Oryctolagus cuniculus: one gene and its partners. The protein of the gene in region 5 interacts with the protein of the main gene of each other region in a pairwise test. Links are inferred from orthologs where the notes say so. Each region holds a gene or a part of one and is shown on either strand. Other genes may lie near its edges.

Region 1 (4,631 bases), on a different chromosome or scaffold from region 5:
GGCGGGGTCCCTCCTGGCCTGTGTGGCCATTTAGGGAGTGAACCAATGGATGGAAGATCTCTTATCTCTGTGTCTCCTCTCTCTAGCTCTGTCTTTCAGATAAATAAAATCTTTATAAAAAAAAGAAAGGTTGGAAGAATATATACCCTGAAGACTTAGAATCCTCACAAGTGAGGGAGAGAGAGAAAATTAGGTTTAGAGGTAGGAGTGAGTACCTGTGCTAAACTTCCTAAATGAGCTGTCCATCTTTTTTTTTTTTTTCTAGGTCTGTTCCTTAAACCAAGCTACCATAGCTATTGGGGACTTAAGATACACCAGATGAACCAGTCAAGTGAAACATTTCTGCGTGTTTGCTAAATTTCTCCCTTATCCTCATCCATTATCAGTTAAGAATGTAACCAAAAACTACTATATATGCTAGGGCCTGACAACAAATATGAAGTTGTCTTAATTAGATTGTAAACAGCCCTGTGAAAACTCACAGTATTCAGCATCATACTGACAAGACAGATGGTTTAGGTAGAGTTGTGTTGGACAAAGGAGTGACCTTTGTCACTAGAATGTGAGTGCTAAATTACTCAAAGATAAGATAGGTATAGCATTTATCTTTGGTGTTATGTGGTGGGATGGGAGAGGGTTGAAAGAGACTCTTAAACCCAGATTAGATGATAGAAATGTCCTGTACAGTTAAGTCCTAGGGCTTGATTGTGACCAGATGAAATTCCTTAGACTCAGCTGTTGCAAGAGAGATGTAAGATATCTGAGCTATCAGCTGACTTTTTTCTTTTTCAGAGTTTACCCTTACCTGTGTCGGGCCTTAAAAACTTTCGTCAAAGACCGGAAAGAGATCCCTCTTGCCAAGGATTTTTATGTTGCATTTCAAGACCTGCCTACTAGACACAAGTAAGAAAAACTCTTCTTAGAAAAGGAATTCACCAAATAATATTGGTACCATTTAGCTGACAGTCAGAAAATTTGGGAGGTTACACTGATGTGCTATAGCGAGCTGTTTAATATCACACAAATCACATTTGCCTCCTGGGGCCTCAGTTTTTCATATGTAAAATCTTTTGGTTTAGATTTTTTTTTCTACCTAATCATGCAAAAGGTAGATTTCTTGCTGTAAAATTACTTATTCATGCTTGGTAGTGACAAGAATTGAAAAAAATAAAAAGAAAGTACTTATAAATTGATGAATATGGGGGGAGGAATAGTGTTTTGTGTGCACATTTTGTAAACAGATTGGCTTTTTTCTAGTTACACCTGGTTGTACAGAACATTTAGTTTTAGAAAAACATGATTTTCTATGAAGATGGGATGGTAAGTAAAGTGAAGCAGATTCTTATGATTGTTCATTTTATAGCACATTTAAAAAGGGAAGCTTGGGGCAAAAATGAGAAAATAGCACTCAGAACACTTGTAGAGATTTATAAATCTTCTGAATATTTTGTTATCTTAAATACAAAGCTTTCAAATAGTCTTTAGTAATTACGTTAAAAAGATACTATTGAAAGAAATTGAAGTGGTATTTTTGCTCAATCTCGGGTGGCTGAACGCCACTTATCCCTCTAAGAAGTTGGGGGACGCCGACCGCTCGGGGGTCGCGTAACTGAAGTGGTATTTTTGAGAACTAAAACTGCTGAAAATATGTTACGAAATTACCAAGTTTTTCATATAAAATGTATGTGTGAAATAGTTTTTCAACTTCTGAGTATAACATTTTTTCCTTTGATAACTTCATTATGAAAGTAATTAATGATTTCTTAGAAATTGTAGATAAGCAAAAACAGTATATAAAACAAAGCTGAGATTATCCTGTTTGTAATTTTAACTTTATTTGGTGTCCTTTAGTTAGCTTTTCATATTTATTCATCTATATGTTTTGTTGTGAATATGTGTGCACTGTGTAATTTAGGAATAGGGGTGTTGACAAAGAATCGTTTTTTTTCAGTAGTGTCCAAAGAACACTTTGCCTTTTTTTTTAAAGTGTAAATTATCATTGAATTTTCTCATTAGGATGGAAAGATTTCTTAGTTGAGAAATGAATATTTACTAGTGGGATATTTATCTTTAAACAGGATTCGTGAACTCACTTCATCCAGAATTGGTTTGCTCACCCGCATCAGTGGGCAGGTGGTACGGACTCACCCAGTTCACCCAGAGCTAGTGAGCGGAACATTCCTGTGCTTGGACTGTCAGACAGTGATCAAGGATGTAGAACAGCAGTTCAAATACACACAGCCAAATATCTGCCGAAACCCAGTTTGTGCCAATAGGAGAAGATTCTTGCTGGATACAAATAAATCGAGATTTGTTGATTTTCAGAAGGTATTTCTTTCCTTTTCTTTAGACCAGATTCAGTTCTGATTCCCTTTCTGGCCCTTGCAATTAGTTTATTTAGGTAATGTTAAATTCAGTCTTTATGTGAATTATCGTTGAAAGTGACCATAGAGATGTGTGTTTAGTAGTTAAGATTCCTGTGTCCCATACCAGAATACCTGGGTTTGAATCTCAGTTCTGTATCCTGATTCCAGCTTCCTGCTAATGCAGATCTTGGAAGGGAACAGTGATAGCTCAAGTAATTAGTTTCCTGCCCCCCACTTGGGAGAGCTGGATTGAGTTCCTAGCTCCTGGCTTTGGCACCTGGCCTAGTCTGTCATTGTGGGCATTTGGGGAGTGAACCAGATGGGAGCACTGTCTGTTTGTCTCTCTTTCTTCCAAATAAATATGAAAGGGGAGAAAGGAAAGAAATATATTTGTCAAAGAATAAACAGTAGCTATTATGATAATGATGAAGAAGAATTGGAGTTAAGAAAACTTAGGAGAAGTAGCAATATATTAGTATAAAACTTTGAATTGGTTAAAAAAAAAGCATGAGTGAATGGACAGGCTAAGATGGAAGCTATGAGATGATCATGATTGAAGTGTTAAGATCCAAATTGGAGGTCAGCTGAGAGATGATTTCATATGAAGCCTATAGGTGTTTGGATCCTTAAATCTTAGTTGACAAGTTCAGCACTGTCTGTAAGAATTGGAGATACAGCTATATTATTTAAGAGGCAAAGTCCTCATCTCCTGGTTCATTCCCCAAATGCCCAGGATGCCTGGATTGGGCCAGGCTGAACCTAGGATCTGGGAATTCAGTCCATTTGTACTTGATGGGTGGCAGGAACTCAACCACTTGAACCATCACCTGCTACATTCCAGGATGTGCTTTAGCAGGAAGTTGGAATCAGGAGCAGATTCCTGACTTGAAGTCAGGTACTCTGATTTGAAGACCAAACACTGACTCAGATTTTCTTTTCTTTTTTTTTTTTTCTTTTTTTTTTTTTTTTTCCAGGGGAAATTTAATGGGACAGTGTTTAATAAATCTTAACAGGTAGTTTTAGTTGCCTGGGTAAGAAGCGATGGTAGTAAGAATGAAGAGGAGGAGTCAGCATCATGGCTCAGGGTTGAACCACCACCTGTGATGCTGGTATTTCCATATGAGCACCAGTGTGAGTCCCAGCTACTCCACTTCTGATCCAGCTCTATGCTAATGTGCATGGGAAAGCAGTGGAAGATGGCTCAAGCATTTGGGCCCCTGATGCCCATGTGGGAGACCTGGATGGGGTTCCAGATTCCTACCTTCAGCCTGCCACAGTCCTGTCCGTTGGGGCCACTTCGGAAGTGAACCAGCAGGTGGAAGATCTCTTCCTGTCTCTTCCTATCTCTAACTCTGCCTTTCAAATAAATGTATAATTAGAGGTGAGGGGAGATCTTTCATCTGCTGGTTCACTCCCTAAATGGCCACAATGACCAGGGCTGGGCCTTGCTGAAGTCTGCAGCCAGGAGCTTCTTCCGGGTCTCCCATCTTCCATTGTTTCCCTAGGCTTACTAGCAGGGAGCGGGATTGAAAGTGGAGCAGCCAGGACATGAACCAGCACCCATATGGCATGCCAACACCGTGGATCGAGGTGTAACCAACCCACTGTGCCACAGCACCGACTCCAATAAATTTCTAAAAAAGAGAGAGAAGCTCTCAGACCTTGGTAAATTTCTATAGGATATGCAAAGAAGAGAAGCTTTAGCATGGAGAAATGATCAGAGTAAAACGAGTAAAGTTGAATTCTGTTTTTCTTAAGGCAGTTTTCTTAAGCTTAATTTTCTTAAGCCAATCTGATAATTTATAAGAAGCATCAATACTTTAGGAGAGAGTTTATTAAAAGAACATGATGCGGGCCATGTGTTGTGGCACAGCAGGTTGAACCACTGCTTCAAATGCCTGCATCTCATATTGGAGTGCTAGTTCAAGTCATGGCTGCTCCATGTCCAGTCTGGCATTCCTGCTAATGCATCCTGAGAGGCAGCAGATGGTGGCTCAAGTGCTTGGTCCCCTGCCATTATGGGAGACTTGGATGAAGTTGAGGCTCAGCCCTGGTTGTTGGCAGGCATTTGGTGAGTGAACCAGAGGATGGAAGATAACTGTGTGTCTACCACATGATGTGACTGTGAGATACAAAGCATGTGTCTAGACTAGGTCTTGGTTTGGGGGAAAGAACATAACTATAATAAAGGATGTTCTTGGAGCTGACATTTGGTACAGCAGTTAAGAAGCCACTTAGGGGGCTGGTGCTATGGTGTAGAAGATA
Region 2 (5,382 bases), on a different chromosome or scaffold from region 5:
TTGAAAGTTAGAGTTACACAGAAAGATTAAGAGAGAAAAAAAGACACCTTCCATCCACTGGCTCACTCCCCAGATGGCTGCAACAGCCAGCTGGTGAGGGAGTCAGGAGCTTCTTCAAATCTCCCATGTGGGCACAGGGGCCCAAGCACTTGAGCCATCTTCCACTGCTTTCCCAGGCAAACCAGCAGGGAGCCGGATGTGAAGTGGAGCAGCCAGGTCTCCAACTGGCGCCCACAAGGGATGCCTGCGTTGCAGACAGCAGTTTGATGGCTATGCCACAACGCAGGCCCCTATTTTATCTTTTACACAAAATCATCTAGTTGTTTTCAATTTTAGTTAAAAAGAGAAGTAAAACCAAAGAAAGGTGTGAGTAACATTGATACACATTACAGTAATTCTACATTATAATAAAAAAAAGACAAAGTTTTGTCCTCACCAGTACATCATTGCAGATATCTCTTAGCTCGGTCTCAATTTTCTCTCTGTATTCTCGAGCCATCTGCTGTTTTTTCTCAGCACCTTCGGTCTTTTGCTCAATACTTGAGACGACCCTCCAAGATGACCTGCGGGCTCCTACGACATTTTTATAGGCTACCGAGAGAAGATTCCTCTCCTCGTTAGATAACTCAGCTCCTTGCTCGGTCACAGACTTCATGCAAGCTGCCATGTCATCATACCGCTCGGCCTGCTCAGCCAGTTTGGCCTTCTGCACCAGCTCATTTTTATCCATGACTGGATGTTCTGCAGGAGGAAAAAAAAAAAAAGAAAAAACAACAACAGTATTTAGACATTTTTCTCTCCCATCAAAATAAAGAGAATGAAAATTCTACCTGTGGTAAGTAAGTTATATCAACACTTCAAACCTAGTGTCTGTGAAAGACTGTTCACTGGAGGAATTCAAATGCAGCCTCACAAAAGGATGGTCACGACAGGGAAAAAAAAACTCACAACAACAATGGAGAGGGAAATTCACAGCAAGGAACACCAGTTTTGCACATTTGGTCAAAAGGCTGCCTTTTAAAATTACCCCTTATCTCACTTGACCAAAAATCTCTATCATGAGACCCAAAATTAGAACAGCTTCTCCTCCTTCATGAAAACAAGGCAAACAAAGAACAGTGCCACTACCGTCATCCCTATCTCCAGAACCACAGTCCATGTCTTTTTTCTTTCCTAATACTTACTCTGATCAGGGATGATTAAATTTAGTTGGTGTCACTCCCACCCAATATAGCAACATTTGCCAGCTGATCACAGCATGACAATTTCTGGAACACACAAATTGCTCATTCTTAAAATATTCTGAATATAAAGCCATCACCAAGGATCACTCTCTAACTGACCCTAAGGCCTCCTTTATACCTTCTTATGTGCATACATGCTTCACAAAGTGGCCCAAGGGTCCCTTTCATTTCAATTCCATCCGAGAGCAGTAAAATTCATCACATTGGAAGCATCTGCGTTTCCAATGTCCCCGTTCCAGTTTCAAAATAGAATTACTGCACCGCTTCTAGTACTCACAATTTAATGAGATGTTATCACTCAAGCTGCCCTTTCCCCTAGCTCTCCTTCCCTCATTTAAGGTTCCCCGTACTTTTCAGGTTACCTCCACTGCATTTATCTTATAAGATAGCCTTTCAGACGGTGCTCAACAGCAGAGAAAGGTACTACACCGTACTGTGATACCACAGAACAAAGGATTTAAAAGCACACACAGAGCCTGAAATGAAATGTACTATTAGATTAAAACGGGGGACGGAAGGGCCACTGTCATCTCCCAGGGGAACTGACTTCCCAATATCTCATTCTTTATCTTCCCAGGGAAACCCCACCATACTGCTTAAAAACTCAAAAGGAAACTGGCCAGAGCGTATGCGAGGAGGGCCATCTCAATGTGCAAAATAGTTAACATTTATCATCGAACATTTCTTCTCGGTTCTTCAAAAATAACCCTTCCCATAAAATCGCCAAACATTTTCTGCTTAATATTGCTTCTAAAGAAAAATGGCTTAAAACCAATACAAAGGTTTTCCTCTACAACCCCTCCGGGACAAGGGGAAGTGGATTAGGTTTCTCGGAGTAACTAGTGCTCCAAGGCCTCGCCTCTATATGGAGATGACTCGCCGCACCCATTTAACCCTTCCGCGGCGTCAGGCGTCGGGGAGGGTGCAACGCAAACCCGCAGACCGTGACTTTAAAGTGCAAAGCCTCCGTGCGCGCAATCCGCAACCACCCCTCCTCCTAGGCCCCGCCCAAGCCGGTGCCTTCGCACAAGTCGCCGACTCTCCCTCTTTGTCATGGCGGATCTGTGTCAAGGAGCCCAACCTACCGCCGAGTGTTAACCCCCCGCCCAGAGCAGGAGGGCGGAGCAGCCCGCGCCCCCGCCCAAGTGGAGGGGGGCGCCCGACCCGGGGACCGAGACGCCAGCACCGCCCGCAGAAGCGGAACCACTACCAGCTCGGCCGCGGACACACCCCGCTCTCCCACCCCGCGTCTTCCCCGCCACCGATGCCCATCCAGAGTCCAAGGACCCGACAGCTGCAGCAGGTGGGGGAGGGGGCGGAGAGCCACACCCAGCCCGGCGAGGCCACCACCGGCTGTTACGCTCGGGGCCCGCAAAGCAGGATCAGGGCCCCTGGTTCCAGCCCGGGGGGGGGGGGGGGGGGGCCGGAGAGCGAGAGCAGCCGAGCGCCGTCTCCCCCACCTCCCCTACCCGACCTGGGCCCGGAGCTCCCCCGCGCCACCCCCGCCCCACCACAAGTAGAAAAGAACCAGTCCCCTCCCCCATCCCAACCGGGAAAATTCAAGTCCTTCCTCCCGCCGCCGCCGCCGCCGGTCCCGGGCCGGCCCCTCCCCACGCCGGCTGGCCCTCGGCGGCCTCGCCCTGCCCGACGTGGGGCAGCGCCGAGCGCGGCGGCCCGGTCCCCGCGGCCCCGGCCCCTCCCGGCCGCGCCGCGCCCCGGGTGGGGGAGGGCGATCGCACCGCGGGGCGCGGAGGCTGCGCCCGGGAGCGGGGGAGGGGGCGAGCCGGGGAACCGGATCGGGGAGGGGGCGGCCTCACCTGCGCCACTGCAATGCCCGCCGCGGCCGCCAAGTCATTCTCCCGGGCGGAAGCGGGGACGCACGGGCCAGGGTGGGGACGGAACGCGGCCGGGGCGCCTCGGCCGCGCCTCGGCAGCCGTGGGGAGCCGGCGGCCGGGGGATCCCCGGGGATCTCGTGTCGGGGGCGCCTTTCCCATCCCCCCCCACACACCCGGGGGATCCAGAGAGGGGAGCGGGCGCCGATCGGGGCCGAGGCACTGGCCCGGAAACATGTAGCCGGAGGCGGCCGCAAGCCGCCCGCCCGAGTCCTGCGGAAGAGAAGCCGCCGCCCGTGTCTGCCTGAGGAGACTCCGCCTCAGCTCCGCGCCGCTACCGCCCGACGGCCGGGCCGATGGGGCCGCGGAGGCGAGGTCGGCTCCCAAGCCTTCCGAGGGCCGGCCGGGGGCGAGGCGGCTGCGGCCGGGTCCCTTACCTGTGTCCGGAGTAGGAGCCGACAGACGGACGGAGGCTCACCGGGCTCTGGGCGGCGGCGGAGAGGCTGAGACTCTGTCCCTGAATCTCGCTGCTCACAGGCTACAGCCGCTCCGCAGACACGGGGTTTCCTCCAATCACCAGCCCCGGCAGCAGGGGCACCACACGCACGATGACGTCAAACGCTGCTATGGCAACCGTTGATTGGTGCCCACAGCTCCGGGGGCCTTAGCGCAACCGCCGCTCCCCGGCGCGCGCCCTACCCGCCCGCGCTAGAGGGCGAGCGAAGGAGCGCGCGTCCTCGCCCCGCGACCGGCGCTCGGCTTCCACCTTGTCTACTCGTTCCCCGAGTGCGCCTGGGCAGGAAGCTGCTGTACTTCCCTCCCCACCGCCACCCCGCTTCCTCGTCTTCCTCTCGGACGCCGCGCCCCCCCCCCCCGCCCCTATCCTCCGGCTCTCCCTTCCGCTAATCCTACGGGAAGAAAATGTGTCCCCACCCCCACTTCAGCGTTCGACCTGGCCTGCGCCTGCGCCAATCACTCCCTCTTCAGAAGGGGCTCCGCTTCAGCAACATCCGGGACCTTTCGCTCGCGCCCCCACCCCCCCCGCCCCCGCCCTGAGGCCTGGCCCGCCCCGGGGTCCGGGGTCCGTGCTTCGCGGTGGTGACTGCCGTAGGGCGGTCCGAGGGCTGGATTACGGGGCCGGCTGGGGCGGCCGGGCATTGTGAGCGGCTTTTGGGGGAAGGGGCAGGGCGAGGGCGGGGCCGCGTGCGGCGCGCTCCCCGCAGGACCCCGCCCGGCCGTGCGCCCGCGGCTGCCCAGGGCGGGGCGGACCTGGGTGCGCGGCGCCTGCCTGCCGCGGCCACGGCCGCCGCTTTACCTGTCGGCGCGGGGGAAGAGGCCTTAGACCTTTTAAGGTTCGGAAAAGAGGACGGAGCGACCAGCCCCTAAGTGTGGCTGAGTGACGGGCAGCTTTTCCAATCGGGAGCTTGGGATCCTCGCCCGGTGACAGCGGCGAGAGGACAATGGGTGGGCGCCGAGGCGGGGGCGACAGGCACGGCCTGGCGGAGACGCGGTCACTCTCAGAAAGCCTCGCTCCCGAGCGGGAGAGGCCGGCTGCTTAGGTGGACGCCAGCACACGAAACGGCTGCCTTTCCCGTTGGGTAGTTTGGGTTTTTTTTCCCCCCTACCAAATCAGACTTGGCTATAGAACATAAAGGTCATAGCCATTTTGTCTCCGAAGGCTAGATCTGAGCAAAGTCCTAGTGCCCAGGGCCCCGGCTGACCCAGCCCGGCGGCAGGGAGAGGGGGCAGAGGAGCGGAAATTGCAGGTGTCTCGCGGCCCGGCTCCACCCAGCCGGCGGAAGGAAGTGCGGAGAGCTGCAGTCACAGCGGAAGATGCCCGCCCAGCACCCTGCACCGTGCACGCGTGTTAGTGCTGAGGACTGCCCAGTGCTCGGGTGACCTGCAAAACCACGCAGCAGCCGTGGAAGGCTGGTGGTTGTCAGGGACTCTTGCGGTGCCCTCCTTGGGTGCACAGCCCCTTGGCCCAATACCTTTATTTAGCAGCTACTGGGCTCCCGCCCCAAACACAGGAGACTCGCGACCCTGAGGAGTTGGGCCTCAATTTCTCGGTAGTAGGCACAAGGCGATGCCTCATCCTTCCAGGACTTGTCTTTTTCTACCTGATGGATATGATGTCTGGCCCGCAGGGCCTTTCAAGTCTGGGTTGCTTTTTGCCAGAAGCAACAGCTGGCATTTAGATAGAATAGACCAGCAAGAGGGTTCTGTGACAAAATGTCTGATTCCAAAATGTGATGGGTAGAGCCCTGTAATAAAGACCTGCAGCAGATACGGAAGTCAGCCGAAA
Region 3 (5,064 bases), on a different chromosome or scaffold from region 5:
CAGCAGGGGGACTTGAAAGAGTCATGCATTATGAGTCCAGGAGCCTTGGCAGTTGGATATAAGGCAAGAAGGGATGTGTGTTATTTTGAGAAATGTATATGAGTGCATTGAAGATTCTGAGTGGGAAGAAGACATGTGGAGAAATAAGCTAAGGCTTATCTGTATGTTGATTATTACGGTGTTTTGTTCCTTTCCCGGCTCCCTCCCTGAGGGGCTCTAGGACTCAGAGTCCTCCCTGGACCCCTCACACGCCTGTTCCTGGAGAGCCCTGTGCTTGTCCTGGTGGCCTCTCTCCTCAGCTACCCCTGAAGCTCTGTGAGGGCAGGAGTAGTGATTTCCCCCGGCACCTCTCAGTCTCTCGGTATTTGGACATTGTGGGATGCATTATATGCTGTTAGGATCTTCTTGCTGCTTTCTCTGGAGTGCTCTGAGTAGCTCTTTTAATTGATTGTTTCTTAATCCTACCACCATTTAGATAGTAGTGAGTGATTGCTTTGGAGGAGTCAGGAAAGGGAGGAACGCACAGGCTCCTTGTGTTCTGGGGCTGGCTTTTTAGTGGACAGATGTTGGCAGCGTGCACTGATCATATTGCACATCTTAAAGGTGGTAACATGCACTTTGATGTTCTGGTACAGTAAGTAAGCCTGGGTGCGATAAATCTTCCGACGTCAGGGTTTAAGTGCATCATAACCCCAGTGCGGGAAAGGCTGTGGTGTAGTTCCCCGGAGGAGCAGAGTGCGGCAAACCTAACCCTCTTTCCTCGTGAACGTCAGGGTACGTGAACATAGAATTCAGCAGAATCTACTTACTTACTTTAAGATTTATTTTATTTATTTGAAAGACAGTTACAGAGAGAGGTAGAACCAGAGAAAGAGAGAGGTCTTCCATCTGCTGGTTCACTCCCCAAATGGCTGCAATGGTTGGAGCTGAGCCAATCAGAAGTCAGGAGCTGGAAGCTTCTTCCAGGTCTCCCATGCAGGTGCAGGAGACCAAGCACTTGACCATCTTCTACTGCTTTCCCAGGCCATAGCAGAGAGCTGGATGGGAAGTAGAGCAACCGGGACTTGAACTGGCACCCATATGGGATGCTGGCACTGCAGGCTGGGGGCTTTAACCCTGTGCACCACAGCATTGGCCCCCGGAGTTTACTTTCTTAGGTGCATAATTTTGTTTGAGAGGGTATTTATGTGTATTTGGTCAGCACTTGAGTTTTTGACTTAATGACTGCTAAAGTGGCTTCTCTGGTAGTTTTGTATGGAAGCTGGAAGGAAAGCATTTTGCTTCCAAAAGATTCTGAGTTCTCCAGTTTTCTATTTAGGTAAGTTTAAACAAAAATAAAGTTTATTTTGAGAGAGAGACAGACAATTTCTATCTCCCCAGATCTTCCAGGTTTCCCACATGGGGGTTGCAGGAGCCAAAGCACCTGGTGTCCCTTGGGGTGCACCTTAGCAGGAAGCTGGAACCCGAACCGGGAATCAGGAGTCGGGGCACTCCAGTGTGGGATGTGGATGTCTAAGCTGCTAGACTTAAGTGCCTGCTCCCCGTGTAGGTAAATTTAAGTCGTCTGAGTCAGTGAAGATTCTGTAAGCCTTGTTTCCTTGTTTGTAGCTGGGAAGTATTTTATGGGCTTTCTCAGCCTCTTATTTCTCACAGTTCTCACGGCTCATGAGGTGGCAAACTGCATGGCTTTTGCTGTGTTGCATCAGGCTGTTACTTTTGAGGAATTCCTCTTCAGGTAGGACTTTTAAAGCTCGCGTGTAACATAGGTTTTGGGGAGCTGGGGCTGTTAGGAATGAGAGGCTTTTGCCTTTCGCTCTTCTCATTGTACCTCCTGTGGCGTCCTCAGGGGAGCAGGAGTGTCTTCTGTAGAAAACTGGAGGAGAGGTTAGCTGTCCTGCAGCCCTTGGTGTTTCTGGCACACAGAGGACAGGGAAGGTGATCATTTCCAGCTGGGAGTGGGTCACTGCTGTTTGTTGCCCTGGGAAGCCTTGGCTTGGAGCAGGCCACCTTGTGTTAGAATTGTGGGTGGGTGGGTTTTAGGATTGAGCCTGCCCTGCTATGAAACCCTGGCCCACCAAGCATGCTCCCTAACATAACTTAAGACACAGGTTGGGACTCGTGTCAAGCTTCCTTTAGGTAAATCTGATGGGTTTTGAAGAATCATCTGAGTGAGTTTTTCAGGAAGAAAGTCAAACTCGGTACTGCAATTCTAGATTAGGGGCTTGAACATGTAAATAAAGCGTGTGGGTTCATGTCATTAGAGGAAACTGTGTTACAGACCTTTCCTGTGCTGTGAATAAAATGATAGAAGAAGCCAGATTCCAGAAGAGCCAAACGAACTTTATTGATGTTGATGTTTTTACTTGCGGGGCTTCATAGACAGGTGGTACAAAACCCAAAAAGGTGATTAGACCTGGGGGCTTACATACAATTTTAGCAAAGAGTGATAAATTGTGAGGTGACTAGACAAAGGAATAGGGAGTTTGGGCTTCCAACGGGGTTAACTTTGGACAGATGCCAAGGAAGTGCACAAGGGAAACTAATGGTAGATAAGGGTTCTTTGTGGGGGGCCCCTTGATAAATGGATATCTCCTTTGCAAAAGGGAAACTTATACCCAGGTTTGGTTGGGTAGGAGGAAGGCAGAGGGCCTCCTGTGCCTGCTATTTAGTTGTCATTTGCCCTCAGCTCAAAATAACCCTTGGACCAACATGGTGTATTTTGATCCTCTTTGGCAGGATGTATTTTCTGCCGTTATTGATGGCTTTTTTCACAGGTCCATTTAGAGTAGAGCTTTTTATTTTTTATTTTAATTGCTGAGTTGTTCCAGCATAGTGTTTCTCCACTATCCTTTGTGCCACACTTTCATTGGAAGCACTGCATAATGCTTGTGATTCCCAGTGAGGAGGATGTTGGGATATACTTCCCTGAGGGTGTGGGTGATGGACTACCAAGCTTTTCTTAACCTGAACAAGTTCCTCATTCTCATTGGGAATCATTGATCGGGCAGTAAGTTCAAGGCTCTAAAGGTGTCAGGATGATCAATAATTTTAGTTTGAAAAAGCTTTTTGGGTTTGTTTAGAGAGCTGTCCTGTGTGACTAACTGCAAGATCATCTGTGTAAGTTCAGTGACTGGCCACCTACTGCCCTGTCAACTAAAAGCAGTCTCCTCTGACTTGAGGGTGGTGCTGTGGCCAGCTACCTGGGAGGAACTGGGCAGGTAGGCTGAGTTTGTGTACACTGATTTCTTAGTTTGGCTGGATTTGATTGTTATCTGTCCTGAAAGGAGTTGGAGTGGAGTGGAGACAGCATTGGATTTAGGGTAAGAAGCTCCCTGTCCAAGAGTGACCTTGGGGAAGCCGCCTCTTAACCTTTCGGCTTTATCTTCCTAATGAATGAGAGGCAGGCATCTGGACCAGAATTTAACACGTGTCTGTGGTCCCATTCTGTTGCGGCTTTGAGTTGCTGAGGGGTTGGGGATAGCTGGGGAAGACACCATTCCCATACCCCATTTGTTTTGTTTCTAGAACTGGGTTATTTGGCTTTTAGGATGATTTTAGCCAAATTTGCCAGAGAAGCGTATTCCTGCCCAGTTCAGTGTAAGCACTCACACGTCCAGGCACAGCCCCACCTCCCCCCACGTGCACACATAAAATATGAATCTGTCTGTAGTGAGGAGGCACAGTGTTCATTGCTGTGGATTTTTTTCTGCAGTGCTTGCCGCCAGTCAGCAAAAGAGACTCTTGTGGAGTAGTTGTAGTAATAATGTCACAGGAATACAGAGAGAAACCTGGCACCCTTGGGAGACCTGCTGATACGTGACTTCTCCACCCCCCCACCCCCACCCTTTTAACTTGGTCTGTTAATGATTACACCTAATTATGTATCTTTGGTCTTTCTTTTTTTCTTTCTGTTGATAATTGAAATGCTGCTTAAAGCCATTTGTTTGCTTTTGTTTGCAGTAAATCCTGGGCTGCCATCTGAAGCCCAACTTGATGATTGTGTATTATCATCTTGGGTTAAGTGCTGTCTCATTGCTTTGCAGGCTGCCTGCTGTTTCCCGGGGAGATCATGAAACGAGGTCGCCTTCCCAGCAGCAGTGAGGATTCCGACGACAATGGCAGTAAGTCCTGCTTTGTTGTTCTTGGAACCTGCCAGGGTCTGGGTCGGTGTAAAAACATGATTTTTTAATGTAATGCTTTAAATAGCTGAGGCCCTTTGCATATGAGGCAGGTCAGAGAAAGCCGAGGCCTGGAGAAACACATCAGAGTGTGGTACTGCAGGTCTGTAACCAGATCTCTCTGAGTAAGGCTGACTGCAGGCAAGCATTCCTGAAGCTTCCTGTTTGTTATCCAGGGATGAATAATCCAGTCCCAAGAGTCACTGGTGTGTCTGTTTTTCTTAAACATCATTTATGGCACTTCACAGTTGCTCTTTACGAAAAGAGAACTTAATCAGAGCAGGGTAATTATTAACTAGTCCAGCACCAGGGGAGATTGAGGACTGCCTGGAATGACAGGAAAATATTAAGTACAGGTTCCTAGTAGGTCTGGAGTCCCTTATCTTCCCTTGGTTTTATTTACTATTTTAAAACATCTGTTTATTTTTTATCTACTTGAAAGGCACAGGGCCAGAGAAAAACACAGAGAGAGACACACATACACACACAGAGACAGATTTTTCCATGGCTGGTTCACTGTCCAAATGCCCACAACAGGCAGGGCTGGGCTAGGCTAAAGCCACAAGCCTGGAACCCCATCCAGGTCTTTTAGAGGAGCAGCAGGAGCCCAAGTGCTTGAGCCATCACCTGCTGCCTCCCCAGGCACATTTGCAAGAAGCCAGGTTGGAAGCAGAGCAGCCTGGATGCGAACTGTTGCTCTGATGTGGGATCTGGGTGTCATAGCGGTGGTTTCACCTGCCGTGCCACAACGCCTGCCTCTTCCTTGGGGTTTCACGTGACTGTATTTCATAGAACTGCTGTCTGCATCCCCGTTCTCTGGCAGCCTCATATTTTCACAGTGCAGCTGAGAACCAGAAGTTAGCTGGCTTTCAGGCAGTCAAAATCA
Region 4 (5,198 bases), on a different chromosome or scaffold from region 5:
CATTTTGCTAGCAAAAATACATGCCAAAGTCACAATAAGCAATATTGTACCACAAATTAGAGCTTCAAATAATTTGCTTGTTTTTAATATCTTCATTCTACATTAAATTACTATCATAGGCTAATGTTTAAAATGCAAATAAATCAGACATCTGTAGGACAAAACTTGTTCACCCAACTGTGAAGGCTGATACCTGTTTCCAAAAATCACAATAAATGCAGGATAAAGAGAAGTGTTCGCATGCAACACCTTTGAGTGAAACAGCATTGATCCCCACCATTCAAAACAGAGAAGGAAATCAAAGAAAAAAAAACAAAGATGGAGACAGGAGGAAAAGAGAGGGAGAGGGAAAAGGGAAAGGGGAATGGGGAAGGGTAGGAAGGGGGAAGGGAGAAAAGAAGGAAAGAGGGAGGGAAGGACTCCACCTTAAAATGCATCATATTAAGATTTATAACTAGACAGATTTAAAAGCATCAAAATCAAAGTAAAGCACAATTCTGTGTGTGTTTAAAGATTTAAGAGCCATTATCAAAAATAAGATACATTTTTTTCAAGGTACAGAAATGTAATTACGAGGGCTGCGAGCCCAGCAGCCTCTCAATGGCTGCATTGATGTCGCCTCCTGTTGCTATTAGAGCCTGCAAGTTTGCTTCACGATTTAAGAACCCCATTGCGTTGAGCTGTTCCAGTTGCTGCTGAAATCTGACTTCTGGATTCGGAAGCTGTGGAGGATTTGCTCCAGCCAGAGCCTGCACCATTTGCTGAATGAACTGCTGGTTCGGTCCAGCTTCTGATGTTGGACTCGTGGTTTCACTGGGTGCAGAGTTGGACACGTTGGGCCCAGTGGGGCCACCAGAGCCAGTGGACCCAGGGGTGCCTGCAGGACCAGTGGGTCCTATGGGCCCAATGGGGCCTATCGGGGTAAAAGGGACTATAGGGCCTATGGGGCCTATGGGAGTGACCGGGCCGACCGGGCCTATGGCGGTTCCCAGCACTCCCACTCCCACACCTGGAGTGAAGCTTGGGATGAGGCCAGGGGCTTCAGTGGCTAATGTCTGTAGTCCCTGCTGGATCTGCATTAAAGCCTGCATTGCTCTTGGGTTTGACATGGCTGATAGTGTGTCTGGATTCTGCATCTGCTGAAGGAAAGCTGGGAGCTGTGGACGCATCTGCTCCTGCAGCTGAGGATTTGCAGTGAATAGAGGGCTATTCAGCATCATCTGTGCAGCCAAATCTGGATTCTGGCTCAGTGACTGCATCATGCTTCTCATGTAGGGTGCAGACAGCATATTCTGAATCAGCTGGGGGTTTTCTGTTATCTGTTGCAGCAGACTCTGCATTCCTGGAGTACTGAAGATGCTGGCGACATAATTAGCTGCAGCCACGGTGTTCCCAGTAGCATTGCTGGAGCCACTGCCAGATCCACTGCCACTGCTTGTGGTCGTGCTGGTGGTCGCAGAACTCTGTGTGGCCGGTGGTGGTGCCCATGGATTAGGTAGTGGATCTCGATTTTCTGTGCGGGAAGGCTGAGTACCTTCTCCAGAGGAGGAACTGCTCCCCACCGAGGCAAACGGATTACCCCCAAACTGCTCTTGTGCGGCATTCAGCATCGGTTCTTGAATGTCAGTGTACATGCGCCGTAGTGCATTGTAGCCACCTGGGATGCTTTCGAGATTGCTGAGAGCCAGGTCTTGATTTCTCATCATCTCTTGCATCATGGCTGGATTCCTGGCGATTTCAAGGGTCTGCCTCATTATATCTGGGTTGTTGAGCAGATGACTGATTTCTGGATTTCTCTGAATCAATTGTTGCATCTGTGGATTGGCCATAATGAGCTGCCTCATCAGATCAGGATTCGAAAGCATACTCTGAACAAAGGGATTTTCCATGATTTGGATCATCATTTCAGGGCTGGCCATGAGCTGCTGCTGCATCTGGCTCTGGAGCTCAGAGAAGCTAGTAGAGCTCAAGCCTAGGCTGCTAAGGCCTGCAAGTCCTCCCAGGCTCCCCAACCCAAAAGGGTTGCTATTTGTGGAAATAGGTGTGGAGTTACTCCTGGGAGTCGACGCCGAGGTAGTAGTAGTTCCCGCGGCACTGCTAGCCTGTGTACTGGACTGGCCCTGAGGTCGATTCTGGCTTTTGATGACAAGGTGAACAGTCAGTCCATCATGGATGCCATGCTGCATCAAGGTATCTTGATCTTTTAAGATTTTTCCGGCAAAAATCAGCACTAGCTGATCGGTTTGAGATTTGAAGCGTTTCGAAATCGCTTCCTTAAACTGCTGGACCGAGCTATTTTCGGGCACTGCGAACTCCTCTTTCTCTTTGGGGGTCTTCACAGTGACTTTAATGATTTTGGGCTCGGCTGGTGTGGCGGCCGAGCCTTGGGCCGCACCAGGGCCGCGGGAGGGGCGCGGGGGGCCGCTGCTTTCGCCGTTCTCAGCCATGGCGGCCGCGGTGACGCAGGCGGGCAGGGAAGGCGCGGGCGGGCGAGACACAGCGAGGGAAAGAGGAAGGAAGGAGGCGCCGCCGCAGCGGGCTGAGTCGGGCCGGGCGGGGAGCGCGGAGCACGGTACCTCTGTGATGAGAACTGCGGTTCCCTGGTCCTCCGGTGGAGAGAGGGCTCAGCGTAGGCCTCAGGCTGAGGTCTCCGCGCTCAGGTCTCTGGGCCTCCTCCGCCGCCGCTTGTGATCCGACCGCGCGCACTCCCAGCAACTCCCGCAACCGCTCCGCCCGCTCCTCCCCGCCCCTTCCCCTCCCCCAGCTCCGCGCTCTCCTCCCCGCCCCACTCTGCTGACGCGGCGCCAGGCCCTGATTGATAGATCTGACTCGGTCAAAATTAAAAACTTCTGCCCTGAAAACAGAGGGAGAGAGGGAGAGTGGAAGAGAGGGAGAGAGAAAGGGAAAGGGGGAGAGAAACAAAAAGAGAAGAGCAAGGACTAGAATGAAAGAGAAAACAAGAAGCGAAGCAGGGAGGGAGGGAGGAAGAGAGGGAGGAGGCAGAAGAAACCAGCTTCTATAAACGACATTAAAAGACCAATGGAGAATATATGTTCGCAATCTGTAAGGCAGGAAAAGGATGAAAGCATGAATCAAACCGATCCCATATAAAAGACAAAAGATGAATAATAAAGAACTCTGACAAAGCAAAAAGGAGAGAGGACCACCCACAATGGGGGAAGGGGAGAAGACCCGGCAAGAGCTTGCATTTTAAAAACCTGTAAGTGGCCATTAGGCATAAGAAAGATGATTAAATCACTAGTAATCAAAGAAATTCAAATTAAAACAATGAAATTCTACTTTTGGCTTATTGTATTGGCAAAAGAAAAATAATGGTAAACCTCATTGACAGGGAGCTGAAAAAATGCACTCTCATGCTAGTTGAAGTGTGAATTGTTATAGAACAATTTGAAAATAAACATTAACATTTAAAATGCTTCTACCACCTTTATTTAGAAATCTCTCATCTACAGACATCTTAAAACAATTGGATAAGGATGCAAAAATATGTATTATATGGATAAGAACTGCACCATTTAAAAATATTATTTAAACATTTTAAAGTACTCTGTTTACAGGGGACCAGTCAAGCACATTATATTATATAATGAAGTAATATTTGCTATCTTTAAAACACAGGTGGTTAATTTCCTTAAAGTTGTATATGAAATAAACTATACTTACAGGGAAAATTTCAGAGTGTTTTTGCTTTTGGCTTTATATATTTCTGTATGTTAGAAACTGTACAACCATGTATATCTAAATATAAAAATACAATAAATTATTTTAGAACTAATATTTGACAATTAGTTGTATATCTAGACTGGTTGCATGCATGCATGAATGCATGTAAAAAAAGGAAAACTTTACAGGCTATACACCAATATGTTAATGATGGTAGTTATTACTGAGTGCTTCAATTGTCAATGATTCTTAATTTGCGTTTAAAAGATTTTGAATTTTCAGATGATTTTTATAAGTATGCACTTTATTTATAATTGTTTAAATCAGAAATATATTTTGGAGAAAGAGTATAGGTTGAAATTGATAAATACACAATAGTAATGGCAGATATTAACATATTTACTTCCTTTCATTAAAGATTAAACTAAGTAAAGATGTGGCAGTGCTGATGAAGAGAAATTGAATAATAGAAGAAATACAAATTTATGTATGTAATTCTAACCCTGGTTAGGACCACAGACAAAATAGTTCTGCCTTTAAGTATCTAGGGAACTTTTAACAGCAAGTCAAAATCACTGGGTCACCAACACCTTAATATATCATGATTAGAAAAATAAAGGTATGTGGTAGCCATCAATTAATAATAGAGTATGATTAATATGATACAAAATCAAAATAATAAATTTATTTTAATATATTAATATATGTATAAAAATAAAAAACCTAATTTATTAGCACATTCCAAACCATGGTCTATGGTGTTTATAGAAACACTCACATATATGGGAAATGTTCTATTAGAAATATACTACAATGATTTATTCCAAACTTCCACCCATATGGAAGAGGAAATGAAAAAGGATGCGGAAGAGTGATTAAAGGGAATTTTAATTAAATCTGTAAAAACTCATTTTATTTCAAAAATGGAAGAAAATATGCCATAATGTCAGCAATAGTTGATTGTAGATTTTGGGAAATTGAGAATTATAATTTGAAGAGTTTTCCAAAAGTTGATGGAAAATATGTATCATGTGAAAACTATGCATCAATTATGGCAAAAATAAATATCTTTTAGTTCCATTTTCCATGAACTTTTGGAAGTACTCTCATACTATTTTACTTTCCATAGTTTTAATTTCTCAACAAATGGAGAGAAAATTAAGAAAACATCACAGATCATCTTTAATTTCAACAGAATAAAGTTGGATTATATAATGAAAGTGAATGAAAAATTCAACCACATGAAAATTAAAACGAAATTGAAAACTGAACAAAGTGCAAATTAAAGTTGTTATTAAAAGGAATTTATAAAAATAATGACAATAAGGGGCTGGCATTGTGGCACAACATGTTAAGCTGCAGCCTACAATGATGGCATCCCATATGGATCATAGGTACTTCACTTCCAATCCAGCTTGCTGCAAATGTGCCAAGGAAACCAGTAGAAGATGGCCCAAGTTCATGGGTCCCTGGACCCACTGGGGAGACCCAGAAGGACTTCTAGGCTCCTGACT
Region 5 (5,431 bases):
AATTGAAAGATATTTTAACTTTCTTATTTTTGTGTTTATAAGATGTGAAGTTAGTGTTATTTGTATCTTCCAGATCACATACACTATTAGTTTCATCAACACTTAAGAGGAAACTCACTATTTTGACTCCATTCTTCATTTCAGGAATGCTGTTGCTTCTTTCTCATGTGACTTCAGTAATACATAGGTTCTTAATAAGACATGTAATTATGTCAGTCAAATTTAATTACAAGGTACTTCAAAGAATTAGTGGGAAATGGAATTAAAAGAAGTTTGTTTTGGTGCAGAAGTTTGTTAATTCCATGTATACTTTTTTCCTAATTCACGTTTTTCATGAACTTTTAAAGACTCCCCTCATTTCCTCATAATGATTGGATGTCAAAATATTTTGTACCAATTTTTGCTTATCTTTTAAATCCATTTTCCATGAACTTTTTGAAGTATTCTCATCTTTTTATAGTGATTGTAAGTCTTATTTATGGGCATTTCCTGAGATTATTTACATATACTCAGACAACTCCTCACCTTCATCTGGATTTAAAGCCCTGTGTTCATAGCTATGGAAGTACAGGCTCAAGCATTGATGTGTCAGCACTTCTCTATGGGTTCTCAGATACCTTGATGTTTTTTATTTGGCTCTGGGTCCATGCTGGTAACTGCCTTCTGTGCTTGTCTGTTGTTAGTTTGAACGCATTAATTATGAAAGATCATTCCCTTCTAATTTTCTCATCTTCCCTTAGTTGCTCCTCAGATAGTGCCTGAATAATGCAGTTCAGTAGGGGAATTACAAGAGGAAAAACTAATAGTTTGAAAGGATCTCTTGATACAAGGCTATATCACATGTATGCTGTGCTTGCCAAAACCTGTAGTATAATTAAGGAGATCTGCAAAATTTGGACCATGACAATTAGGAAAATTTAGCTGAGGCCACCTTAAAAGGGGGTAAAAGATAACTTGGTTGAAAGGAGGATATAATTTCATAGTTTTATCATAATCTTTCATGAAATTGAATCTAATGAGTTTGACTGGAAAGACTAGGACGTATTTTCATGCAGTAACCAAGGAGTTTTGGCTAATGTGTGGTGAATCTACGTAAATATGGAATAAGTAACACTTTGGTTTGTATATGTGCGTGTGTATGTATATAACTATTTCTTTAAACATTTTCATTTTTGGTGATTTGTTTTCTTCATCTGTTTAAGAACCCTATCACTAAAATGTGTCATATTGAACCTGTTGCCATAATTTTGAGGTCTCAATCCATGTCCTAATTTTTTTGCTCTTACATTAAGTAGCGAAACTAAACCAAAATAAAAATTCAGCCTCCAAAATCCAAACTTCTTTATTCAGTAAATTTGCATTTTATTACTAGTTTCAGCACTAATTCTAAAATCTTGGGCAAGTCAGTTAATCACTCTGAGGCTGCTTGATTTTTTAAAGTTCTTATGTATGAAATAGCTTTATTAGTTAGTCAAGTTGTCTTGAGATTCAAGGTAATTACCAAGCAGAGTGCTTTGTAAACTCATAACATTACACAGAAGTAGAAGGTATTATCACAGATTGAGTTTCCTTTGTCTGAAATAATTGAGACCAGAAATGCTTTATTTCTGAGTTGTTCGGATTTTGAATACTTGTATAGACTTTATTGGTTGAAAAATTCTATAATTTGAAAATCCAAAATGCTCCCAATAAGCCCTCAGATTATTTAGGAGCATTTTGGATTTTCAGGTTAGGGATGTTCAACCTATACCATGTTTTCTCAATGAAAATATCATTTAAGAAAACAAAATGCTGAAGAATAGTTCTTTGTAGTAATTATTCTTCTGATGAATTTTGCATTGACACCTAATTTAAAGTTTCAAATTATTATTTGAACAATGAATTGGATTTATATATTAAAGTGTTCTAACTAAAGATTTGTTTAATTTATTAGAGTTATTAAGCCTACGCTCAGATCAAGTTAGCAGCTAGACTGGTGTGCCAACCTGTTTTTAATCAGTGACTCAAAGCTGTGATCACCCTGATGTCACCGAATGGCCACAGCTTGTAAAAGGTAATTTTGAATGTTATGTTAGAGCCTTTAAAAGGCTGCCATTGTAAAGTGAAATACATGCTGTAAAAATGGAGAAAATGTGTAGTTGGCAGAAACACTGCCAAGAATAGTGGACCTAAGAGTTGATTTATTTCTTCATTTAGTCTCATTCTGAAATATTTATTTTTTTCCCCTCATTCAGAATATCAGTAGCCACCACTGAAGACTTATCTGTGTGGATAAACAGGAAAGCATTTCTCAAAAAATTTCAAGTTGTAACATATAAACATTTTATTATATACATTGTAAAGGAGATTTGTAATATTTCTTAATAAACATTTTAAAGTGTGTCTTTTACGTGGTGGGTGTTTTAATTAAGATACGTTTCTAGAAATTTTTATAACTTTAATAAAACTAGTATACTTTTCTCTCCTAGAGAGTTACAGTGGAGGTAAAAGGAGTGGCTTGCAGGATGGAGAAGCTGCACCCAGTATTATTGGAAGTGAGCCACCGTTTGAATTTGCTAGCTAATGCTGCAGTATTCAGATTAGTGGGTGTTTTGTGATCATACTTTTTGCTATTCAAATCAAGACTTAAAATTGAGACTTTTCTAAGCTGTATTTTCTATTTTTTTAATACTACTTAGTTATGGCTTCGTTTTTAAAATTTTCTTTCTGCTTTGTTACTCTGCTGGTTTAAGATAACAATGGCTTTTTTTTTTTTAATTTAGTAAAATTATGAGCACATAGTGGATTGTAACTCCCAACATCTTAGCAGTAAAGAATAAATAAGCTCTGAAGGAGCCAGAGTAGAGTGTGGGAACTGTTGTATAAGGGGGCCTTAAAAAAATTCATGTCCTGAAAAAAACATGTAAAAATTTAAAAGTTTTTCTGTATCAAAATTGTAATTCCATTTTTCCACAAAGTTTTTGAAGTGCCTTTGTGTGTTTCATAGTTTGAAGAGTTTGTATCCTAACTTTAGGATAATTTTTGGTAACTTTAAAATATTATTGAAATGTTTAAGCAAGATGACTAGAAATTTATTGAGAAATGGATCATTAATACTGCAAGAAGAGTGTTTATTCTCTGTATATTCATTTTTCTCTCGATTTAAAAAACATTTCCTATTTGAATAGAAAGTAATATGCTATATATGAGACCCAGAATAGATTTATTTTAAGGAAAATTTTTCAATTTTTTCTTATTGTTTTGTTCTTTTTCTAGACTGGATTGGTTTAAATTATTTGGTTTGACTCATAGACGGTTTTTAGTAACTCACTTTAACATACATAGATATTAAGTAATTATCTAGTATAACAATAGTGACATTTTGATACAAGTGATCACATACTGTTTAGGGGAAAGAAATTGGGAAAAATTGATGTTGAACTTTATCTCTGTCCTGTTTCAGAATCTCAAGACTTTGCAGCCATTATATGTTTTACTTTAAGGTTTGAGCTTGTTTTCCTTTTTGGCTGTGTCTTTCCTTTTTTTGCAGTACTATTTTAATTTTCCTATCATTAAGTCCCATTTTTCCCCTCACCTTGCCCTGATAATTTTTAGAGTTTGATACCTACATGTTTGAAAGCTTCTAATCTGCCCGTCTTCCCTCAGTGCCAGCACGAATTTAGTTTTTGTTTTGCAAGCCAGCTCTGTCTCTTTATAGTATGATATCTGATGCTAGGGGGTCACACTTGGCAAAAATGAATCAGCTGGTACATGGGCATATCATCAGTTTTTAGCTCTTCTGTCTAAAAGATACTAGTTTGGAAGCAATCTTGGGGTACTTACCCCACAAGGCTGGTAGAGACCAGGTGTGTCACAGAGGTGATTTGCTTGATCCCTGGGGAGAGGGTAGAGTGAAATTTTTACATTGTGTAACTTCAAAGTCACTACCACCTCCAGCATGCTCCGGTTTTTAGTTCTTAAACAATTTTCTATAAAATTTAAATATACTGGAAAGATCTAAAATAAATATTTGAGCTGCTGGAGTATTGCGTCCTTCGAATATGAATAGACTACAGTGAGTGTAACTTTGAAACCCTAATAAAAATTTTTTTTTGAAGCCCATAAATTTGGGGAACATTTTCTTCTAATGACTCTGATTTTAAAATTCTTTTAAGTTTTTTTTTTTTAAGTTGGATATCTGAAGTCTGATAAATTCACAAATCAAGTCCTTATAGTACCAATTTGATATACAGGTTTTGACTTCAAAGAAAATTTTTTTAACCTTTATTACGAATTTGAAACATTAGAAATTGGTATTATGTTGCTGTACATTTTTTTTTTAAATAAATTTGTGTATTTTTTATTTGTAAGAGTAACAGTTTGAGAGAAAGAGAGATCTTCTGTCTGCTGATTTGCTCCCACAGTGGCTGCAATGGCCAAGGCTGGGCCTAGCTGAAGCCAGGAGCCTCATTGAGGTCTCCCACATGGCTGGTAGAGTCTCAGACACTTGGACCATCATCTGCTGCTTTTTCCAGGCCGTTAACTGGGAGCTTGATTGGAAGTAGAGCAGCTGGGACACAAACTGGAACCCATATGAGCTGCCAGCTTTGCAGGTGGTGGCTTTATCCACTACAACACAACACCAGCCGCTGTTGGATTACTTTACAGCAGTGGTTGACTAATGCTGTTTATAAAAATGAATAAGGTAACAGGCTTTTTTTTTTTTTTTATACTGTAATAGTCATGGAAAATATGGGTTTGTGTCCTTCAAAATGAAAGTGAAAACCTTCTTCTTTAGAATTTTCAGTATTTCTACTTTAAATAACAGCAGTACATTCAGAGGTATCAAAGTAATTGACAACTATTTAAAACTGAATTAATTGACAATTATTCAGAGCTAACTTCAGTAGCCCAGGCAGTATACTTCAGATAGGTAGTACATCCTGCTAATATGTTTTTAGAGAGACCTAATTTCATTGTGGAATCAAGATAATCATGATCAGAATGGTATCTCACTGAGGCTGTTAGATTTTAGTTTGTTATTTAGTACAGAGATTGGCAAGCTTTTTTGTTAAGGTCTAGATAATAAATATTTTAGGCTTTGTGGACCATATGGTCTCTGCCACAGAGAGTCACTCTTGCTTTTTAAGAGTGAAATCATCCTTAGATAATACCTAATAGAACTTTATTTACAAAAACAGCTGGTGTCCCAAGCTTTAGTTTGTCTAACTTAGCAGTAGTTTGTTAACCATTTTGAATATCATTTTATTAATATGGATAATCAAAACTGGGCAAAAGATAGCTTCGTAAAATAAAAGCTTGTTTGTTTTTATTATAAATATTCAACTGTAAATAATTATGATTTATAGTGGTTTATCTGTTGGTATCTGACTAATGTTAACAGTTTCCTTTTCTTGAAGATAATGCATAATGTTTTTTATTAGTCCAGTAC
Region 6 (5,330 bases), on a different chromosome or scaffold from region 5:
AGAATCCTCCCTACCCCTGAGGTTTCCTTATAGAAACTTTCAGGATCTGAGCCCTGGGAGTCTTAGCTTTTAGTGTGTCATAGGCTCACAGGAACTTGGGATTCCTGTGTGGACCTGGTGCTTTGCTTTTGTTTCCTGTGGATCTCACCTGCCATCTTGTTTTTCCAATAACTCTAGAGTACATGGTGAAGCAGATTTCACACACAGAATGAGGCTAAAGTTGCACAGGTCTTGGCTGCCTTGGAGACCCTGAACTGATAAGGTGTTAGTTGAAGGGATCCTCAGCTGCCCAGTTTGTTGTAACTGGAGTCCAGTGCTTTGTGGGCTGGCAAAGAAAGGAGTCTGGACGTAGGAAGTTAAAAAGCATGTTGCCAACAAGGTGCAGAACCTGATCCCACCTGTGTTTTGGAAATCTGTAAAGTTATGGATGTATGTATGCATCCATATGTATCTGTGCCCATCCATCCATCCATCCAGCCACCCACCCATCCATCTTGGATAGATAGAAAGGATCAAATTGTTACCACTGCTGAACCCTTGGAGTGAGAATGGAGTGTTCAGGCAGCAAGTACAAGGAAGGACTCTAACTTTTTACTTTGTGTTTCTGTACTGTTAAAATTTTAATAGGTTGTTTTCTAACAACAACAACAACAACATTTAATAAAAATTATTGCGTGTAATCCTTACTCTTTGACAGTCTGTCCAAATGGGGTCAGCGCTTTGGCTTAGTGGGTAAAGAGGATGTCTGCAGTGCTGGCATCCCATATAGGTGCCAGTTTGAGTCCTGGCCGCTCCACTTCCATTCCATCTCACTGCTATGGCCTGGGAAAGCAGTAGAAGACGGCCCAAGTGCTTAGGCCCCTGCACCCATATGAGAGACCCAGAAGAAGCTCCTGGCTTCAGATCGGCTCAGCTCCAGCAGTTGTGGCCATCTGGGGAGTGAATCATTAGATGGAAGACCTCTCTCTCTGCCTCTGCCTCTACCTTTCTGGAACTCTGCCTTTTAGATAAATAAATAAATCTTAAAAAAAAATAGAAAAGAGAGGGAAGAGATGTGCAATTCGGGACATGCTCAAGCTGACTTACCTCAAACAGTAGAGTTAGAAACATACCAGGGGATTCCAATTCAATCCCATCAAGGTGGCATGTACCAATGCCATCTCACTAGTCCCAGTGATCAATTTCAGTTCACAATTGATCATAATGATAGGACTAAGAACCAAAGGGATCACATAAACAAAAATAGTGTCTGCAAATACTAGCTGATAGAATAAAAAAGGGAGAGAACGATCCAACATGGGAAGTGAGATACACAGCAGACCCATAGAATGGCAGATGTCCTAAACAGCACTCTGGCCTCAGAATCAGCCCTTAAGGCATGCGGATCTGGCTGAAATGCCCATGAGAGTATTTCAGGCATGGAAAGCCAAGACACTCTGGCAAAAACAAAACAAAACAAACAAACAAACAAAAAACACCTAAATGAAAGGTCTCCGCGAGTGAGATCCCAGTGGAAAGAACAGGTCATCAAAGAAGGAGGTACCTTTCTCTGAAGGGAGGAGAGAACTTCCACTTTGACCATGGCCTTGTCTAAATATGATCAGAGTCGGTGAACTCAGGGGGCTTCCATAGCCTTGGCAACTCATGACAAGAGCCTAGGGTGATTACTGAGGCCATAAACAAGAGTGTCAATTTGTTAAGTCAACAACAGGAATCACTGTGCACTTACTCCTCATGTAGGATCTCTGTCCTTAGTGTGTGTACATTGAGATTTAATGCTATAACTAGTACTCAAACAGTATTTTTCACTTTATGTTTCTGTGTGGGAGCAAACTGTTGAAATCTTTACTTAATGTATGCTAAACTGATCTTCTGTATATAAAAAGAATAGAAAATGAATCTTGATGTGAATGGAAGGGGAGAGGGAGTGGGAAAGGGGAGGGTTGCGGGTGGGAGAGACGTTATGGGGGGGAAGCCATTGTAATCCATAAGCTGTACTTTGGAAATTTATATTCATTAAATAAAAGTTAAAAAAAAAAAAACAGAAAAGAAACTCTGCCCAAACATCTGACAAAGTGCCCACAAAGAGTTAACACAGAGTCCCAGATGTTTGAAGTGAGGACAATTCCTGATTTGAGGGTGAGAGGCAGGTCTAGGGGTGAGAGAGGGGGAGGAAAGGGGCCAAGGGGAGGGTTTAGGCCTCACCCCACCAATAGCATCAAGGTTTTGGGCCCAACGCCCATTTGTGGAGACTATTTCAGGAGTTCAGTTTTGTATCTGAGTTCACTGCTACGGTAACCTGTCAAGCAAGATCTGAGTGAACTTTCAGGTTTGGCACCCCGGAGGCTGCTGCTCCTTAGCTTGAAAGGTAAAATTCTCAGAACAGAGCTGATGTGGTGACGGTGACTGGGTGTTCACCTCTTCCTCTCTGGTGTGTTGACTTCTTCCAGGCAAGATTGTAAGATGCTTAGGGATACGGCTTTGCTTTTGCTAGCAACAGCATTAGCACTAAATTTCTGACAGGGTGGGGTGAGTCCTCCTGGTTCTCTGCAGAGGGCAAGACACAGAATATTGAATTAGTAGGGAAGACGCTTAGATAGGCTCTGCCTGGAAAGTAGCAAACACATGTGTTTTGATTGCTTAGTGATTTAATATCATTCCCTCTTGGTTTTATCAGAGCATTGTTAGGCTTTTATAGGGATTACAGTTGACTTAGCAAATTCCACTTACAGCAAGTCAGCATTCAAATGAATGCTCTCTGAACATTGTAGAGTGGGTTCCTGCTTTATTTTCCGTATCAGGAAAAAGTCTTTTTTTTTTTTTTTTAATTTTTTGACAGGCAGAGTGGACAGTGAGAGAGAGAGAGAGAGAGAGAGAGAGAGAGAGAGAGAGAGAGAGAAAGGTCTTCCTTTTGCCGTTGGTTCACCCTCTAATGGCTGCTGCGGCTGGTGCGCTGCGGCCGGCGCATAGCGCTGATCTGAAGCCAGGAGCCAGGTGCTTCTAGTCTCCCATGCGGGTGCAGGGCCCAAGGACTTGGGCCATCCTCTACTGCCCTCCTGGGCCACAGCAGAGAGCTGGACTGGAAGAGGGGCATCCGGGACAGAATCCAGCGCCCTGACCGGGACTAGAACCCGGGGTGCCGGTGCCGCAGGCGGAGGATTAGCCTAGTGAGCCGTGGCGCCGGCCAGGAAAAAGTCTTAAAGCTCTCCTCTTCTCCTTTATAACAAGGCCACTTTATAAGAGAAGGCAGGAAAAAAAAAAAAAAAGAAGAAGAAGAGTTTGGAAAGAGACTCCGAGTGTAGTCACTCCTATGTTTAGGTCCCGATGTAGCAATCCGGATGGGCCCATCAGCATCACAGGGACTGGCTTTCCCCCAGGTTTTCCTAGTGATGGACCCCTACATGATTCAGACGAATGGCAACAACCACATCCCCTCAGTGCTGGATGTGCATGTCAACTTTGGTGGGAGAAGCTCCGTGCCGGGCAAGATGAAAGGCAGGAGGACCAGGTGGTCTGTGAGACCCTCAGACATGTCCAACAAAACTTTCAATCCCATCCGGGCCATTGTGGACAGCATGAAGGTGAAGCCGAATCCAAGCAAAGCCATGATTTCCCTCTCAATCGGTGAGTGGGGGACACTCGAGGCATGGGCAGCGACGGTCTTCCCCCTGGACTGGTTAAGAAGATGGGAGCAGAGGGTGGACAAGAGTCTGAGTGCAGCACATGGGAGAGTAACCTCTGGGTGGCTCCTTCTGTTTTCTCTCTCCCATGAAAAGGAGATCCTACTGTGTTTGGAAACCTGCCTACCGACACTGAAGTTACCCAAGCAATGAAAGATGCCCTGGATTCAGGGAAATACAATGGCTATGCCCCATCCATTGGTAAGCTCCTCTCCAGATTCCCTACCGAGTGATTTCCAAATCTTTGGTGCATTTATAATAGGACCAAACATCTAGCAATTCATGCATACTTCCTGAGGAGAGGGTAAGATGAAACAGGCCTTGGGATTTGGGGAAACATGAGCCACAAAGGCCCAACTTCTTTCCTGGCTCCTTCTGGCCTGCTGGCACCTTCCCTCTAGGCACCCAAGCAGATTTATCCATCAAATAATGCTCCTCTTACAGCATGACTAATTCTAAGACGATGGCCCTGGGTCTGCTGGAGTCCCTGGCTGGAGTCTTCTAGGCCCTTTATGAATTTACTTATTGGCCTATGTAAATAGCTCCTTTGACTTATTTCTTTCTATCTTGAAAGCCTATTTTCATTATGATCCTGATAACACTGAAATGTAATTTGTTACTCTTTAGGATTAAAGAGGACAAGAACAACAAAGAAGGGCTGACATATTGAAGGAAATAAATTAATGCTGATAGAAATTATTTCTATTTAGGTTTGATTCTCTCCATCTATTGACAATTTCTACTCTATAAAGATTTTGGTAAAATACGTAATTCTATGACTTTGTTTCAGTGTTTCACATTTTTGCCCCTTTGTGTAAATGTGTGCAGAAAAACATTCTTATTGCAAGATAAAAACCCAGATTCATGCTAAAATCAAATTTTAAAACTACTTACAGAGGAATCAGGGACATAGTTTTTAGATTGATATGTTACACTTTATAAAGTTTCAAAACAAAACTCAAAATCAAGACCAAGTGTTAGGTTATAAAGAAAAAACTCAATGATTCTAATATCCTAAGTATTGAGAAACTGATTCAACCTAAAATATCAAGACTGACTCTCTGTTTGACAAATGTGCAAAAGGTATGGCAGAGATGACAATATATATCTGGAAAAATGTTTTCCTTCATTAATAACTAAGGATATACTGATTTATATAATTTCAAGAGGCCTGTTGGCACCTAACAAGCATTGTGAAATACCACCCATGACCTTGCTTTTTGGCTTTTCTAACTTGTCTTTTTGAACAGCAATTTTACAAAATATTATAATGGACACAAAACTGACAATAATTTAATCTTATAAGCATCCACTAATAAATCTCTTACAGGAGAATAATTTGAAAGAAAAAATGTGTACCAAATAGTTGTGATATATTACATAATGCAAAAAACTCAAAATAGATCACATGTATTGAGTGCATTTAATGACAATTTTAAAAAAATATATAGTCTCTCCAAGAGATTTAGGAATAATCTAAATCCTTTATTTTACAGAGGAAAAAACAGTAATCAAGATGACGCAGAGTATTTTATCGTTTGGGGAGTTCTTGTTATTCTTTACATGTCTGTGTTTATAATAGAGTTGTAAAATACAAAATGTACTGCTAATCTACAGTGGTTGGGATGGAGCCAAATGTTAGGTTATTAA

Evidence for each region.
Region 1: the proteins of UBE3A (region 5) and MCM6 interact in binary tests that used the Homo sapiens proteins (3 or more experiments, as listed by UniProt). The link is inferred for Oryctolagus cuniculus from reciprocal best matches to the Homo sapiens genes UBE3A and MCM6.
Region 2: the proteins of UBE3A (region 5) and YWHAZ interact in a two-hybrid assay, tested with the Homo sapiens proteins (2 studies listed by BioGRID and IntAct, with this or other methods). The link is inferred for Oryctolagus cuniculus from reciprocal best matches to the Homo sapiens genes UBE3A and YWHAZ.
Region 3: the proteins of UBE3A (region 5) and JADE1 interact in a two-hybrid assay, tested with the Homo sapiens proteins (3 studies listed by BioGRID and IntAct). The link is inferred for Oryctolagus cuniculus from reciprocal best matches to the Homo sapiens genes UBE3A and JADE1.
Region 4: the proteins of UBE3A (region 5) and UBQLN2 interact in a two-hybrid assay, tested with the Homo sapiens proteins (2 studies listed by BioGRID and IntAct). The link is inferred for Oryctolagus cuniculus from reciprocal best matches to the Homo sapiens genes UBE3A and UBQLN2.
Region 6: the proteins of UBE3A (region 5) and TAT interact in binary tests that used the Homo sapiens proteins (3 or more experiments, as listed by UniProt). The link is inferred for Oryctolagus cuniculus from reciprocal best matches to the Homo sapiens genes UBE3A and TAT.

What each region holds. Positions count from the first base shown.
Region 1 is NC_091434.1:107,465,801-107,470,431, forward strand, and holds part of MCM6 (DNA replication licensing factor MCM6), read left to right. Parts: intron 1-792; coding exon 793-903; intron 904-2,078; coding exon 2,079-2,328; intron 2,329-4,631. UniProt on the Homo sapiens protein: Acts as a component of the MCM2-7 complex (MCM complex) which is the replicative helicase essential for 'once per cell cycle' DNA replication initiation and elongation in eukaryotic cells.
Region 2 is NC_091437.1:126,359,711-126,365,092, forward strand, and holds the start of YWHAZ (14-3-3 protein zeta/delta), read right to left. Parts: upstream 3,656-5,382; 5' UTR 3,515-3,655; intron 2,841-3,514; exon of another isoform or gene 2,795-2,840; intron 742-2,794; 5' UTR 731-741; coding exon 437-730; intron 1-436.
Region 3 is NC_091439.1:35,931,785-35,936,848, reverse strand, and holds the start of JADE1 (protein Jade-1), read left to right. Parts: upstream 1-1,561; 5' UTR 1,562-1,665; coding exon 1,666-1,735; intron 1,736-4,043; coding exon 4,044-4,121; intron 4,122-5,064.
Region 4 is NC_091453.1:39,986,377-39,991,574, reverse strand, and holds the start of UBQLN2 (ubiquilin-2), read right to left. Parts: upstream 3,132-5,198; 5' UTR 2,448-3,131; coding exon 570-2,447; 3' UTR 1-569. UniProt on the Homo sapiens protein: Plays an important role in the regulation of different protein degradation mechanisms and pathways including ubiquitin-proteasome system (UPS), autophagy and the endoplasmic reticulum-associated protein degradation (ERAD) pathway.
Region 5 is NC_091443.1:14,371,556-14,376,986, reverse strand, and holds the start of UBE3A (ubiquitin-protein ligase E3A), read left to right. Parts: upstream 1-1,928; 5' UTR 1,929-2,033; coding exon 2,034-2,053; exon of another isoform or gene 2,054-3,874; intron 3,875-4,545; exon of another isoform or gene 4,546-4,684; intron 4,685-5,431. UniProt on the Homo sapiens protein: E3 ubiquitin-protein ligase which accepts ubiquitin from an E2 ubiquitin-conjugating enzyme in the form of a thioester and transfers it to its substrates.
Region 6 is NC_091449.1:55,670,520-55,675,849, forward strand, and holds the start of TAT (tyrosine aminotransferase), read left to right. Parts: upstream 1-2,214; 5' UTR 2,215-2,368; intron 2,369-3,353; exon of another isoform or gene 3,354-3,377; 5' UTR 3,378-3,389; coding exon 3,390-3,624; intron 3,625-3,776; coding exon 3,777-3,881; intron 3,882-5,330. UniProt on the Homo sapiens protein: Transaminase involved in tyrosine breakdown. Converts tyrosine to p-hydroxyphenylpyruvate. Can catalyze the reverse reaction, using glutamic acid, with 2-oxoglutarate as cosubstrate (in vitro).